Linked DNA regions of Notamacropus eugenii. The main gene of each other region encodes a partner of the protein of the gene in region 2 in a complex. Links are inferred from orthologs where the notes say so. Each region holds a gene or a part of one and is shown on either strand. Other genes may lie near its edges.

What was found. The genes of interacting proteins can lie anywhere in the genome.
Region 1: STRIP1 (region 2) and STK26 share a complex: the UniProt entries of both Homo sapiens proteins name them as parts of the core of STRIPAK complex. The link is inferred for Notamacropus eugenii from reciprocal best matches to the Homo sapiens genes STRIP1 and STK26.

Annotation. Positions count from the first base shown.
Region 1 is NC_092879.1:53,710,387-53,717,585, reverse strand, and holds the start of STK26 (serine/threonine-protein kinase 26), read right to left. Parts: upstream 3,077-7,199; 5' UTR 3,000-3,076; coding exon 2,958-2,999; intron 1-2,957. UniProt on the Homo sapiens protein: Serine/threonine-protein kinase that acts as a mediator of cell growth. Modulates apoptosis. In association with STK24 negatively regulates Golgi reorientation in polarized cell migration upon RHO activation.
Region 2 is NC_092873.1:288,381,310-288,388,970, reverse strand, and holds the start of STRIP1 (striatin-interacting protein 1), read right to left. Parts: upstream 3,082-7,661; 5' UTR 3,067-3,081; coding exon 2,869-3,066; intron 1-2,868. UniProt on the Homo sapiens protein: Plays a role in the regulation of cell morphology and cytoskeletal organization. Required in the cortical actin filament dynamics and cell shape. Part of the striatin-interacting phosphatase and kinase (STRIPAK) complexes.

The DNA.
Region 1 (7,199 bases), on a different chromosome or scaffold from region 2:
TGCCCCTCCCATCTCCATACATTTGCACTGGTTGTTCTCATGCCAAAAATGCTCACCACTGTCATCTCTGCCTGAACGCCAAGCCCCCTGCTGCAGACCTTTCAGTCCCACCCACTGTCGGCACTTTCCATCTGAGATGACTTGCCATTTACAGTGTATGTGTGTGTATTCTATATATGACCAGATGAATTGAAATGTGAGTTCCTTGAAGGCAGAGGCCATCGTTTTTCTCCTTTTCTATGGCACCCATTTATACAGAGCTTTAAGATTTGCAAGATTTACATACATTCCCTCACTAAATCATCACTTCAAGCCCATACGGCAGGTACTCTCATTACCTCATTGTTAACCCCATTTAACAAAAAGTGAGACTCAATGAGATTTAGTGATTTGACCAGGATCATACAGCTAACATCTCAATGCAATTTTCAAATCAAGGTCTTCTTAATTCTCAGAATATAACCATTATGCCACGTTGCCTCAAGAACCAGAGGAAAGTGGTGTCACAGAACAGCACAGATTAACAACTACAGGTTAAACAAACAACGTTGGAGTGAAAACTGACATTATTTTAATAATAAAAGTGGTGCTATACTTTTAGGTTCTTAACATAGGAAAAAAATGCTTCTAATTGCAAGACCAAATAAAAATTTAAATTTAAGAGGACCTATACAGACAGTCTTGTACAAGATAAACATTGGAAAAAGAAAAGTTTAACCTGTCAACCTAAGTATTATGAGGTTTAGTAACTGAAGTATCAGAACTGAAACAATTTCTATGTCTTCTTCAAAGTTTTTTTTTTAAACCAGTGACACAAATTCCTTTATCTTAAAGTCAGGAATGTCGGTCAGACTTAAAAGATAGAACAGGTAGTTCGATTTCAATGTCCAGTTTGGGGCCAGTGAACCAGGAGCACTTACTTTCTGGAAAAATTCTTGCTCCTAACTTCCTTAAACTGTTTTTAAAAATTTTTTAAAGGAGAAAGTTATAAGAGCAATTGTCTTGATCTGCTTTTTTAAAAATGTAATTTCTAAAACATATGATTAACTTTGAAGTTTCTTTAGCACTGTATGTCTGAAAACTTTCCATACATCTCCCTAACTGTATTTTACAAAATAATAACCCTTCTGCTATGTAAGTACTTCATCTACAACATCACACAATGAATATTCAAAGTAGCTTGGACCTAAGAGTTATGCTCATGCAGTCAGATATTTATTTTTAGGGCAGTGTACAAACTTAACTGTGGAAAGCAAGAGCTTAAGAACTATGTTGGGGGGGGGGGTGGCGGAAAGAGTGGAGAACTTAAAATTTCATTAAGGAAAAAGAGGCAGATAAGTGATCTTTTTTGTGTTCCTAGTACTGATTTGGGGGTAAAAATCCATTTAAGAGTCATGAGACTACAATCTCTGTGGGGAGAAACAGGGGTGCAATTTGTAATTGAGGAAAAAGGAACATTAATCTGAATCACTTATGTACTGGAAAAGCAGCTAAGAGGATAAACATTGAAAATGAGTGGCTAACTAATTTATAGGACAAGTTTAAAGCCATTTGGAAACACGGAATGCCTCAGCACTTACTGAACTTCTGAGATTCCCAAACTTTATGAATAGTAATAACAATCACAGGTATAAAAACAGAATTGTTAAAAGGTGCCCTTGCTTTATATAAACCAAAGTAGAAATCGTTTTATTTTTAAAGAAATGACTGAGCAATTCACAAGATGTGAAACGATTAAATTTAGGAGAGCTCAGTCTGTTATTTTCTCAAAAATAAGAGTAAAAACTTGAGACTAGGCACTGAAGTCTCCCTGAATTTATCTAAAAGGCCTAGTCATTAGGAAACCCTGCTAAAACCTAGTTAGATATATACACAATAGAAATTACTTTTCCTTTTGAAGGACTTTAAAAAAATCTCTGTGAACTTGCATAAAAGAGGATAAATAAAATGACATTCAAATCCCAATAAAACTTTAAAGGAAACTTTACAGGTGGCTGAAAATCCATGGTCAGGAATGTTTCTGGAAATGTGGGCTGCCTACTACTCTAACACATTTTTCTGAACTTTAAAAAGTTTTCTTACTGTTACAAGAGGAGGGACTGAGGCTTTCAAGTTCTTGGCCTCTGAAAAGAGTTCTGGAGCAATGGGGGGGGGGGGGGGGGAGCGTTTAAGGAAGAGGTGTATGCTTATTTAGAGAAACTAGTTCAGACTTGGACAGTTTTCACTAACTAGCCTGAAATGCAGTCCCAAATGTCTTAACTGTCTTCCTCAACGGCTTTCCAAAGGCTTAACAACTTTGCTTTTGTAAGAAAGCGAAGGTGTTTGTGGGTTGTTGCTTTTTGTTATTATTATTTTGTCAAGGGGGGAGGGGAGGGTGCATGATGAATGATAACGTACAAATACATATTCGTCCCGCACACGCGTCCTCTGCTACCCAGGGCACAAACTTCTCTTTCCCTTAGGAAATGGGGGAGGGGAGGGAGTGGGGGACGGAGGTGGGGGCGGAGAAGGGCTCCCCGAAATCGGGCCGGAGCTCGGATTTCCAGGTGGCGAAGGGGGATGAGACTTCACCGTTGAAGCAGCAGCTCCAAAATGAAAGGAAAAAGAGAGAGTCACCTCTTCTACCCACAGGAAGAGCCCAGTTAGTTCAGCGTCTCCTCCGCCACCCCTGGCCCGGCCCGGCCCGACTCCTGGGGAAGGGCCGTGGGGCCCAGACCCCCACCGAGGGGTTGCCGCAGCCTCCCGCCCGCAGCCCCCGACCTTGCCTTCGTCCCACGGCGGGAGCAGGTGCCCGGAATCGAGGCCCCCATTCCACTGCATCCCAGCCCCTGCCGTCGTACGCCCCCTCGCTCGTGCCGTCCTCCCACCCCCGGCCCTGCCTCCCTGCGGGGAGCCCCAGAGACACCCCCGATCCCCTGGGCCGCGTCGGGCCGCCCCGGCGGCCTGGGCCTCCTCACCTGCATCCCGGGCACTTGCACGGCCACCGGCGAGTGCGCCATGGCGGGGGCGGCGGCGGCGGCGGCTGCAGCGGCGGCGCGGTCCTCTCGGGCCGGCTTCCCTCGCGGGCCTGCCCTGGCGGCTGCGGCGCCGGCGCCGGCACCGCGGCCTGGGGGAGCGGATGAGCGCGGCGTGTCGCCGGTGAGTGGCCCGGGACAGAGAAGAGGGGAGGGCTGCGCAGGTGAGGGGCGCTGCGCGGCTGCGGGCGCCTCAGCCTCCTCACCGGCCGAGTCCGCGTGCCCCGGGGACCGAGCGCGAACAGGAGAGCGGGAGAGCTCCCTGCGCAGCCGCCGCCGCCGCCGCCGCCGCCGCTGCGGCTCCGGCTCCGGCTCCGGCTCCCGCCGCTGCTGTTTCCGACGCCGCCGCCGCCGCCGCCGCCGTCCGGATGAGCTGCGCTCTGCGCTGCCTCGGCTGAGCTCGCCTCGGGCCGCCTGGCGCGCGGCGCTGCGTGTGCGGGGCGGTGCGGCAGCGCGGGCTCCAGTGATGCCGTCCGCCGGCGCCTCGCCGCTTTTGGCAGGCTGGGAGGCGGCGCCAACGGCGGCTGGCCGGCCCGAGGGGCGGGCGAAGGGCGGGCCAGCAGCGAGCCCTGCCCCTGGCCCTGGCCCTCCGGGACGGAACGGAGCGGAACCGGACCGGACGGGACGGGACGGGACGGGACGCTACGGGATGCCCCTAGGCGCTTCAGGGATTCTAAGAAGCGCCCCCACTCTGGCGGTTCCCAAGAAATTGGACCTCGGGGAGGGGGGAAACCCTGGCGGAAGGGTCCGGCGCCCTGAGGGCAGGGGACACGACGCGAGGCAAGATCACCTCTAGAGGCAGGATCTTAAGGTGGAGTGGATGCTGCCGCCGCCCGAGCGGCCAGAGCCTCGAGAGCAAACGAGAACCCCGGGCTTAGCATACTCAGCCTCGCCCACTTTCAGGCCACTTGCTAATGCCCAATTGGAGGGAAAGAACTCTCCCCACTGTGACCTTCTTTTGCCCCGTCAGGGCTTTTGGGTGAAGAAGTGCCATGAGATTGGGTGCTAAGATCACATGTCACATGGGAAAGGGTCCTTACAGAGTTCAGCTCCCCCTCATTTTAGAGTAGAGCGAAACTAAACCCTTCGGAGAACAAGTGACTCGTCCAGGGTCACTCCTTCAGTAGGCCACTATATGGAATATTCCCTTCAACAGCGCTAATCACAACTGATCCACCTTTGCCCATCTTATGTTAATCTGTTCTTTGCCCTCCCATAGGATCACCACAGGGATTCTACCCCTCCTGCAAAAGGTGTGGGTCCTTTCTTGCTTTCTCTGTGCCATCTGACTATACCAGTGAAGCATGTGAGATGGCCCTGGTTCCCACCACATTGCTCACACCTTCTCTGGTCATACTTTGACTCAGTAATATCCCTCAGGGCATGTCTTTGGTTCTAGAGCAGACCAGCATCTATTCTAGCATATGTTAAAAGGGTCTTTAAAAATAATTTTTTTTAACCATATAGTACCTTAGAGTCTTTAAAAGCACTATTCAATTTCCCAAATGGAGTTCAGCCCACTCTTTTCCTCTTGGATTCAAGTTATTGTCCATCAGCAACCCCTATAAGGGTATAGGATATATGTGTTAATGGATGACTTAATGTACAGGCCATCCAACTGCATGTTATCTGGACAATAAGCATTTTTTATCCATTTGGTTTATATTCTCTAAAGTGTTAGGCTGAGCCCTTTTGAGTAACCATGGATCTCACTGAAAAAGACCTCTAATGCTAGGCAATTTGGATGCAATCAGCACAATTTCCCCAGCAAACAGTAGTATCTAGAGGACCTCACCATCTATGGGCAAGATTACTAGGCACACACAGACATAGGTAGCACACACATAAGCATAGCTCCTTGCTCAGACCTCACTCTTACTACCTCAATTTCACACTTGAGGGAAAACAGGCAATTTTTAAGATCAATTGGATAAAATTTTATTTCCCAGGTGACCCGACCCTGTGTTCTCAAAAACTATTCCAGCAGAACAAGGTACTAACAAGCCTGAAATTTAAAGCCAAATCCAATAAAGGGCTTGTAGTTTAAGTGTGAAGGCCCAGCCTAAGTAAAGGCCCATCAAACAAAAGGTTGACTATGCTCGATGTTTTTGGCTACAGCAATTCATAAAGGCTGTCTGCTAAGATATGGAAGGGCTGCCAGGAGGAAGAGGAAGTTCAGGTTTTGGGGGATACATCAAAGTTCCTAACAGATTACCTGATCACAGATTTATAGCTGAAAGCGACCTTCTTTATGACGCATATAGTCGAACTTACTTATTAGACAAAGGAGGAAACTCTGGTCCAGAGATGTCAGGTCACTTGCCCAAGGTGGTTGGCTGTCATCTCTCATTCTTGAAGAGGACCAAAATGCCATCACTATATGTTGGGGTGTGTCTGACTGCTGGCTGCTCGGAATGCTCTGCCACATTTCATATGAGCATTTGCAGTAGAGATGTCTCTAAATTTGTTTATCACATGCTTCATTTGAGCTATTACATTTCTGCTTTACTCATAGAGCACAGTGCCTTCTTTGATGTGGGCACACCATGCTAGGTGGTCCTGGGCCAGTGTCTCTCATGTCTCCCTACTGATTCCAACGTTCTTCAGAGAGACCTTGAGAGTGTCTTTGTATCACTGCTTCTGACCTCCATATGAGTGTTTACCTTGTGTGAGTTCTCCATAAAATAATCTTTTACGCAAATGTTTGGCCAGCCCATCAGAGCTGAGTTTTTTCTGCAGTACAGTTTGAATGCTTAACAGTTCAGCTTGAGAGAGAACCTCAGTGTCTGGTACTTTATCTTGCCAGGTGATCTTCAAATCCTCCTAAGACAATTTGAATGGAAGCCATTCCATTTCCTGACATGGTGCTGGTAGACTGTCTGGATTTCATAGGCATACAATAATGAGGTCAGCCCAGTGGCTCCGTAGACCTTCAGTCTGGTAGACAGCCGAATACCTCTTATCTCTCATGCTTTCCTTCGGAGCTGCTCAAACACTGAGCTAGCTCTGGCAATGAGTGTGTCAACCTTATGATCAATGTGCACATGCCTGGAATGTATACTGCCAAGGTAAATGAATTTATCCCCAGCATTCAAAATTTCTCCATTTGCTGATGGTTCCACATATGGATGGTGTGGTGCTGGCTGAAGCAGAAGCATCAGAGAATCAATCCATACTTTGTTGTATCTCAACCTCAGAGGCTGCATTGAGTGCACAATCATCTGCAAACAAAATGTCATACACTAACTCTCCCTCCCTTATCCAAGGTAAGGTCACGTAGGTAGAGAGATAGGTAGAGTTAGGATTCTAACTAAGGCCCTTTGAGAGCAAATCTAGCTTCCTTTAGCTTCTATATGTATTTAATAAAGGATAATACTCTGTATTAAATTAACCTTGTGATGCTGGACTTCACATTTATTTACCTAACTGACTTGGACTGACCATACTTTTTGATATGAATGTTCCTACTTCAACCACCCCTAGTCACATCACACTTCAATTACTTTTAATAGTCACTGAGCTGGTCTCCCTGACTCTGTTCTCTCCCACCTCTAATTCATCCTTATCTGAGATTAATCATCCTAAAATACATTCTTTCTAAAAGACCACACTCTTCAGAATTTATAATAGCTTCCCATTACCTAATTTCCTAAACTTGTGTAGCCACAGCAGTCCATAAATACTGGCCCAGGAGGTCTGAAGACATCAAATAACCCAAAGAGAAAAGGAGGAGGGGTTTTGTCAAGGAAATTTTGGAACAAACTGGAAGTTAACCTGCAAAAATCATCAAGTATGTTTTCGTTGCATCATTGAACATTTCAGAGGGGAAATATTTCATAGTGTCAAAGTATACAGAGCCCACTATTCATATTGCACAGAAGAACAGATGAAGAAACTGAGGCTTGGAAAGGTAACATCATAAGTGGCAGAGTTGGCGCTTGGACTCAGATTTCTGAAGCCCAGGCCTTGTAGCCAATCTACTACATTTGATATGAATCATTCTAATTGGATAGTAAGGGAAAGGGAAAGAGAGCAACATCTAGTACACTGGGGAAAAGCACTGTGTCTGGAGTGAGAGATGTTGATGTTGCTGAGTCATATATGACTCTTCGTGATCCCGTTTGAGGTTTTCTTGGCAGCAAAGATCCTAGAATGCTTTGCCATTTCCTTTTGCAGTTCTTTTCA
Region 2 (7,661 bases):
CTGAGCTCTAGGTTTAATGACTTTCAGACAATTCTGAAGAAAGGTAGAAACCATAAGTAAATGGGGAAAAAAGTATCTACATAGGGCCTGCTTTCTATCTTTAGATACATGTGTCTGTACTTTGGTGACTCTGGAAGATAAAGTAAGGCCAACAACTTTGTGCAACTCTGCCTCACTTAAATCAATTCACCCATGAGTGAAGACACTGACCCATGGTGCATTGGTAACCTCTAAGACGAAGGACGAATAACAGCGACATTTGTCTTCCAACTGTCCAAACTTTCATCTACTGGATCTTAGTAAAAATTGAGGCACATGGAGGAAGTGTCGACAAACATTTCTATAGCACGCTGTTGACAGCTAACTAGGGAGATGGGCAATTGCTTCTGAATTATGACATATAATTCACTACCATAAAGGTCATTTCTAGAGCTTCTTCTCAGTCTGAACCCTTCTTGAACTTTGTGTAGCATGACACAACTCACTTTTCCCTCCCTGAAATTCTCTTTTTCCTTGGCTTCTGTGATATCACATTCTGTTTCTACACCTACTTCTTAGATTATTCTGTTTCTCCTTACCCAGGTAAATGTGAGGTCACAAGATTTAGAGCTGGAGAGTGTCTTTAAAATAATCTAATTTAAATCCCCCATTTTACAAACTGGGGCCAAGAGAAATGGAAAGACTTGTCTGAGCTCATACTCTGAAAATAACCAGGTTTCTAATCTAGGTCCTATGACTCTAAAATCAGCATTTTTTCCAAATTGCCTCTTGGGGATCTCCCTCAAGGATCTTCCTTTCTACATACACTTATCCACTCCTACTACTTTAGCCATCACCTTTACGGGGATAACTGAAAATCTCTTTTAGTCCTAACCTGTCTGACCTTGGACCAGTTTTCAGCTCTCTTCTGGACATCTCTAAATCAATGTCTTGCTAACACCTCAAACTCAACATACATGAAATCTGACTCATCACTTTTATCTCTCCTCTCAAGGACACAAGCTCCTCTTTTGACTTCTTTATTCTAACGTACCTAATCATTCAAGGTTCAAATAACTCAGGCAATTAGCTGAGTTTCTCCCTCTCCTTCCACAACCAGCCAATCACCATTTTCGTGGATTCTACTTCCATAAGCCTCCTCTGTTGTATCATTACCAACCAGTTCAGGCTTTTCTCGACTCCAACACTTCCCCATCGATCACAGGACCAGAGACTGAAAGCTGGAAGGGTCCCTGGAGATCATCCAATGCAAGTCACTCACTTGACCAAGGCTCGGAACGGTGGGGATTCCCCACACTGGTAATAAGCCGGTCAAAGGCAGTGCTGCTTCCAGGGTCCCCACTCTTTCCTCTTTCTCGTCCATCTAACATACCGCTGCGCCATTAATTATCCTCTCGTACAACCAACGCTGCCCATCTTCAGTGGCTCCTCACTGCCGACGGGTTAAAGCCAAACTCTGATCTTCTGGGACTCCGCGGCCCCGCTTCTTCTCTGCCCCCCTCTGCCGCTACCTGCGGGCCCTCCTCACCACTGCACAGGGCCCCGTGCTAAAGGCCCCCCTCCAAGGTCAGCCTCAGACCCAACGCCAGCTCCGGGCGGCCTTCCCTGGCCCCTCTCTCCTGCATTCTCACGGTGCCTGTCACACAAGGGGCACAGAGCGGGGCCAGAGCTGGGCCCAGGGCCGGGCACAGAGCGGGGCCCAGGGCCGGGCACAGAGCTGGGCCAGAGCCGGGCACAGAGCGGGGCACAGGGCCGGGCACAGAGCGGGGCCCAGGGCCGGGCACAGAGCTGGGCCAGAGCCGGGCACAGAGCGGGGCACAGGGTCGGGCACAGAGCGGGGCCCAGGGCCGGGCACAGAGCGGGGCCCAGGGCCGGGCACAGAGCTGGGCCAGAGCCGGGCACAGAGCGGGGCACAGGGTCGGGCACAGAGCGGGGCCAGAGCTGGGCCAGAGCCGGGCACAGAGCGGGGCCAGAGCTGGGCCAGAGCCGGGCACAGGGCCGGGCACAGAGCGGGGCCAGAGCTGGGCGCCTTCCTCATCCAGACTGGGTAGGCCGCCAATACAGACTGGCTGAATTAATCACCACCGTCTCGCCGACGGTGAGGCTCCTCTGAGATCGGCCAGTTTGGGGCTTTAAAGACCGAACTACTGAAAATGTGACAACATTCCCTAAGAGCCGGCTCCCTGACAGACGCCTGCCTCCCTCGGCCACCGGGTCAGAAAATTCCTGGTGAAGGAGTTCGGTCCCCTCTCCTTCCCAGTGACTATCTCAGGAAGCATGATTCTCCAAGGAACAGCGAAGTGCTGGGGAATATGCTGATTAAGGTGACCTAATTTTTAAAAAAAGGAAACCCCAACGTGTATTTTCATTCATGAGGCCGGTGGGCGGAACTACTCCCGAGCCGGTGAATGACTCGGGCGTAGCCAGGGCGGCGCTCGGGGCCAAGGCGCACTTTCTGGTTTTCACACCCAGGTCGGGAGATTGGAGGTGACCCAGGCGAAGATGGCCCGACGACCGAGGAGGAGGAGCGGGTGGCCGGCCTTCAAGTGGCTTCTCCGAGGGCAGGGGCACCGCGGCCGACGAGGGCGTCGGTCCATTCCGGAGGGCGCCGCCCAGCTCCCTCCTCAGCCCGGGAGGCCGAGGTCGCCCCGGGCCCACCCACGGCCGCCGCGGTTCCGAGCCCCCGGGGCCTCGGGCCTCGCACAGCTTCCGGCTCCGGCCCCCGCCGCACGGACAGCGCACGGACAGCGCACGGACAGCGCACGGACAGCGCCCGGTCAGCGGCCGCTCCTAGGCCCCGCCCCCGCCAGGGCCCCGCCCCTGCCCACCCCGGCCCGGCCTCGCCCTCGCCCTCGCCCCCCCCCTGACCTCCGAGTCCTTGCGCTGGTTGCGGTTGAACTCCCGCCCTTTGCCCCCGGGCAGGACGCCCCCGCCGCCCCCGCCGCCGCCGGCGGTCCGCGGGGCCACGGCCTGGGGCTGCGGGGACGCGGGAGGCGGGGGCGGCGGGGGCTGCGGCTGCTTGTTGTTCACGATCAGAGGGCCTGGCCCACCGCCTCCCGGCTCCATCTTGGCTCCTGCGGCCCCAGCCCAACTCTCGCATGGCCGTGGGGCCGCTTCTCTCGCGAGATTTGACCCCTAACCCTGCCGCGCCCCCTCACTTCCGCCATAATGAGTGTGGCGGTGAATGGGAGACGCCATCTTGAGCGCGGCAACCTTTTAGGGTGTCTTAGCCTGGAATACCTCTCGGGCGCCCCGCAACACGACGCACGGTCGGACTGTGGTAGTTGGTAGGTCGTTTTTCAGTCGTGTGACCCCATTTGAGGTTTTCATGGCAAAAAATGCTGAAGTGATCTTCCATTTCCTTCTCCAGCTCATTTTACAGGTGAGGAAACGGAAGCAAAAAGCGTGAAGTGACTTGCCCAAGGTCACACTGCTAGTACGGGTCTGAGGCTGAATTTGAACTCAGAAGGCGGGGTCTTCGTGGCTCCAGGTCCCGCTCTGGTTACTATGGCGCCCCCTGGCTGCAGAGTCAGGTTACGGGCTCACTATTTTCCAATGCTATTTGTTAGGCAAAGCTCGTTTGGACTGGAAGAAACTGACCTCGCACCCTGCTGACCGCTGCTCTGAGCTCTCCAGCGGAGGGTCAGTGGAAAGGGCGGCCAAGGGGAGTCAGACTGGAGGTCCACTGCCCCCTCTCTGCCTCCCACTTAGGCCTCCTTCTTAGTAAATGAAGTGGGGGGAGGGGATAGGCCAGTGTACTAGCAGCAGGCCAGCAAGTCGTCATCATGTGCCATCTTGGTGCCTCTGTCCCATGGGACAGAAGTAATTTCCCTTTTTTCATCTGTAAAATGGATCCATCAGATGGCATCTTAGGTTCCTTCCAGCTCCATGACTTTTGGAAGACCTAGGGCTAATTCTTGCTTCTAAAACAGTTTCCCCAACCTTTAAGATGCTAAAAAAGTGTCAGCCTGCACTGGAGTCTTTTGTTTGGGGATTTTTCTGGTGGTGGGGGGAGTTCCCTATACCAAGGAAATGACACACTTCTAGGTACTGTTGATCAGTGAGGGGTGTTCTCTTTTCCAATGAAAACAGGGGTCTGGTTTGTACCCTACCAGGGTAAATTCTAGGAGATAACACAGGCATATATACAAAGTACATAAAAGGTAAAGAGAATGCCTGGCCTCCCCCCACACAGTGTTAGCTGGGAAGGTTTGCCAGACTAGCTGAAGTTCTGAGGTGCCCTGAAGGAGAGATAAGAAGCATCATGTGTATGTACCACCATCACCTTGACCACCATTTTTCCTCAGATTCTGATAGAGACAGTCCAGGGCCCTGAACCTAAGAGCCATGGAAATGGTAATGCTTCCAGCAACTCTTTTCAGATGCAGCCTGGCAACTGTTTCTGCTGAAGATCCTGAAAATAAAGTTCTGTCACCACAATCCTTGGCCTTCTCCAATGGGTCAACCTTAGAAAATGATATGGTATTATCAGTGGAAATGATATTTTTAAAAAAGAGGCATTACCGCCTGCTTTACTGATGCACCTTGAGAGTCTGACATACTGTTGAAGTTTTTATATATGTTCTATGTAAGCTTTATGAGAAAAGATTCTGTCTCACTTTTCTATTTGTATCTCCAGTGCTTTGCACAGTGTTTTACTTAAAAAAAAGGCAAGTGCTTAAAAATGCTTTATTCATTCATTCACCAACAGCTGGGGGACTCATGAATGGTCTGATGTGGGAGGTTCCGCTCCAGCATTGACATAAACTAGGGATTCTCAGAAACAGGTGAGGAAGGACAGTTGGATGGGAGAAAAAGAATGATGTGGGTGGATGTGGTGTTGTGTGTGAGAAAACAAGGAGACCAGTTTGGCTGAACCAGAGTTGGAAAAGGAGACTAATACATGGCAGGTTGAGGCCACGCTGGAAAGGATTTCAATGTTAAATGAAGTTTGATCCTGGAAATAATAGGGAGCCCTAGACGTAACAGAAGAGTATAGTGACATGGTTAGCCCAGTCTATGCTTTGGGGAATTACTTTGGCAGTTAGGTGGAAGATGGGTGAAGAGGAAATAATTTGAAGCAGGATGATCAGATTTCTATAACAGTCCAGGCTAGAGACAAAGAGCCTAAAATGGTTGCATGAATGGAAAGCTGACAGATGAAGAGATATTGTGGAGTAGAAATGACAAGATGAGCAACTGGCTGGATCTCCAAGGTCCTTTCCGACTCACAATCTCAGGATCTCTTTCCTTTTCTTCTCTCTCTCCCCTCTCTCAACTGCCAGGAACATAGCCTGGGGAGCCCCACCAGCATTTCTTCTAGGCTGGTGCCCAAGCAAAACTGACAACCAGGATGAAGGATTTGGTCAGGAAAGGGAGAGGGCTAAGGATGGCTCTCTGTTAATCCAAACATGCAAATCACATGCAAATTGACATTTGGTTCTGACATCAACAGATGATACAATTCTTTGCAATAGGCCTGCTTCCATTCCTTGGAAAATGACCCACTACAAATATATATTCTTTCAAAATCTCTAAGAGTCAAGCTTCATCAAAGCAAGTCACCTCTCTCCTTAGCCAAACAAACGCAAGAGCATCTGAAGGGCCACCAACTTGTGTCCTCTAAAGTTCTTTTCCAAGACAAACTCATCACCCAGGTATCTATCAGAGTTTCTTCCAAATGAATCATACTGATTCAGGAAGTTAAGGGAAATTCTTTTTAGAATATAACCTCCTACAATAGATTCATAAATTTAGAGCTAAAAGGACCTAGTTCAACCCACATACTTCTGTCCTTATGTGTACAATGAAGGGTTTGTACTATGACTTTCTAAGGTGCCCTCTAGCTCTAAATCTGTGACTCTTAAGATAAAGATACACTGCCTTTCATGTGCCACTAGATTGCTTTAGAGTTCTGTCCAGACCCAAACCCTGTGACATGGGACAAGTGCCTCGCTCCAAGACCAGAGGCTCATTGCCTTGGAAATAGTAAAGTTCATCACCTGTACTGAATGACCTTGTCCAGAAGGAATCAGAACTGGCTGTGTGTGGGGGGAAGACCACCATTGCCTATAGGCCACTCACTCCTGAGAGAAGGAGCAAGAGGTGCAGCTTACTGAAAAATGGATCTGCCTCACCTTAACTATGAGCACATATAGCAGGTGGCTCTATAGGACTTATTTCTGAATGAAGCCATCTATTTTGGTCTTTTTCAATGCCAAATCTATGATCCTGCCAAATGCCCCATAAAAATGGCAGGAGTGAAAATAAAGCAAAATTAGCTACATCCTTTCCTTGTAGGAGGGACACCATATAACTAATGCATTTACAGCAAGTTTGTGGAAGGTAGAGAAGGCATATTCCATTAATAAGCACAGCATACTGAAAAAGCCACCTAGTCTAAAGGCCTGCTTTCTCATGGGATAACTGCACCCCACTATTATTTCTGACACCATCTAACTCTGAACTAAAACAGCCTAAGTTTAGCAGGACAAAATGACCTCCGTGATTCTCACAAGGTGGTTAATAGGGTGGCAGATGTGCCCTGATGCCCTGCCCAGATGTCAAACACCCAGGACATTCCCAACTCAGTGGTAAGGGACAGGGAACCATGGGTCATTCACTGGAACGTCTGGGCCATGGTGACCTGAAGTTACTGGGGCAGGGGCTGCCTGCTGAAGCCCAGGGTGGATGAAAAGGGCTACCTGGGAATGACAGCAAACCAACATTTCCTCGTCTTCCCAGGAACCCTGACTTCTCACTAGCCTAAGAACAGTATAACCTTGCTACTTCATTTTCAAATAACAAGGGAGTGAAAGGGCGCCACCTGGTGGATTTCCTTCATGGCAGCAGTGGAGAACCATTCCTGGACGGGGACCTTTCCTCTAAGCAAGCACAAGTTGATAAGGTACCATGTAGGAGCAGGAACAGAGCCCACTGATAACATTGCTCTGGCACCAAATCCTAATCTCCCAGGACTAGTGAGGCAATTTGGGCTGCTGTTCAGGGCCAACGAGGCAGTCATCACCTCAAACCCTACTCCCAGTTATTCTCTGGAGATGCCTTTTTTTCTGCCATGCTGCACTCTCCATGTTGTATCATCCATGTTACTCTGCAGCTACTGTACCCTCAAACCCAGATCTCCAGAAACCATGCCGAAGGGAAGCCAAATCAGTCAGTCTGGGAATTCTCAGTTCCTCAGTCAATAAGCATTAAGTACTTACTAGACGCCAGATCCTGTACAGAGTAGTATGCAAAAGCCATGAAGGAAAAAAAAGATCCCTATCAGGGAAGACTATCAGGGAAGTCATATTCCAACAGAGGAGACAATATGCAAATGACTATGTATATGCGAGATATGAACAGCCAGAAGGAAGGCTTGAGACAGTTGAAGGGGTGAGGATGGATAGTCCCATGCCCAGGTGCTTGGAGCTGCGTTGAAGCTGAGGAATCCAGGGACAGAAATGAGGGAGAGTATTCCAGGACCAAGGAAGAGCCAGTGAAAAGGCACTGAGCTGGGAGACAAGTGTCATGTTCTAGGAACAGCAAGAAGCTGGTGTTGTAGGATCATAACAGCATGTAACAAGATTGGAAAGGTCAGGTTGGAACAGGCTTTAAATGCCAAACAGATTGTTTTATATTTGATCCCAGAGGTTAAAAAG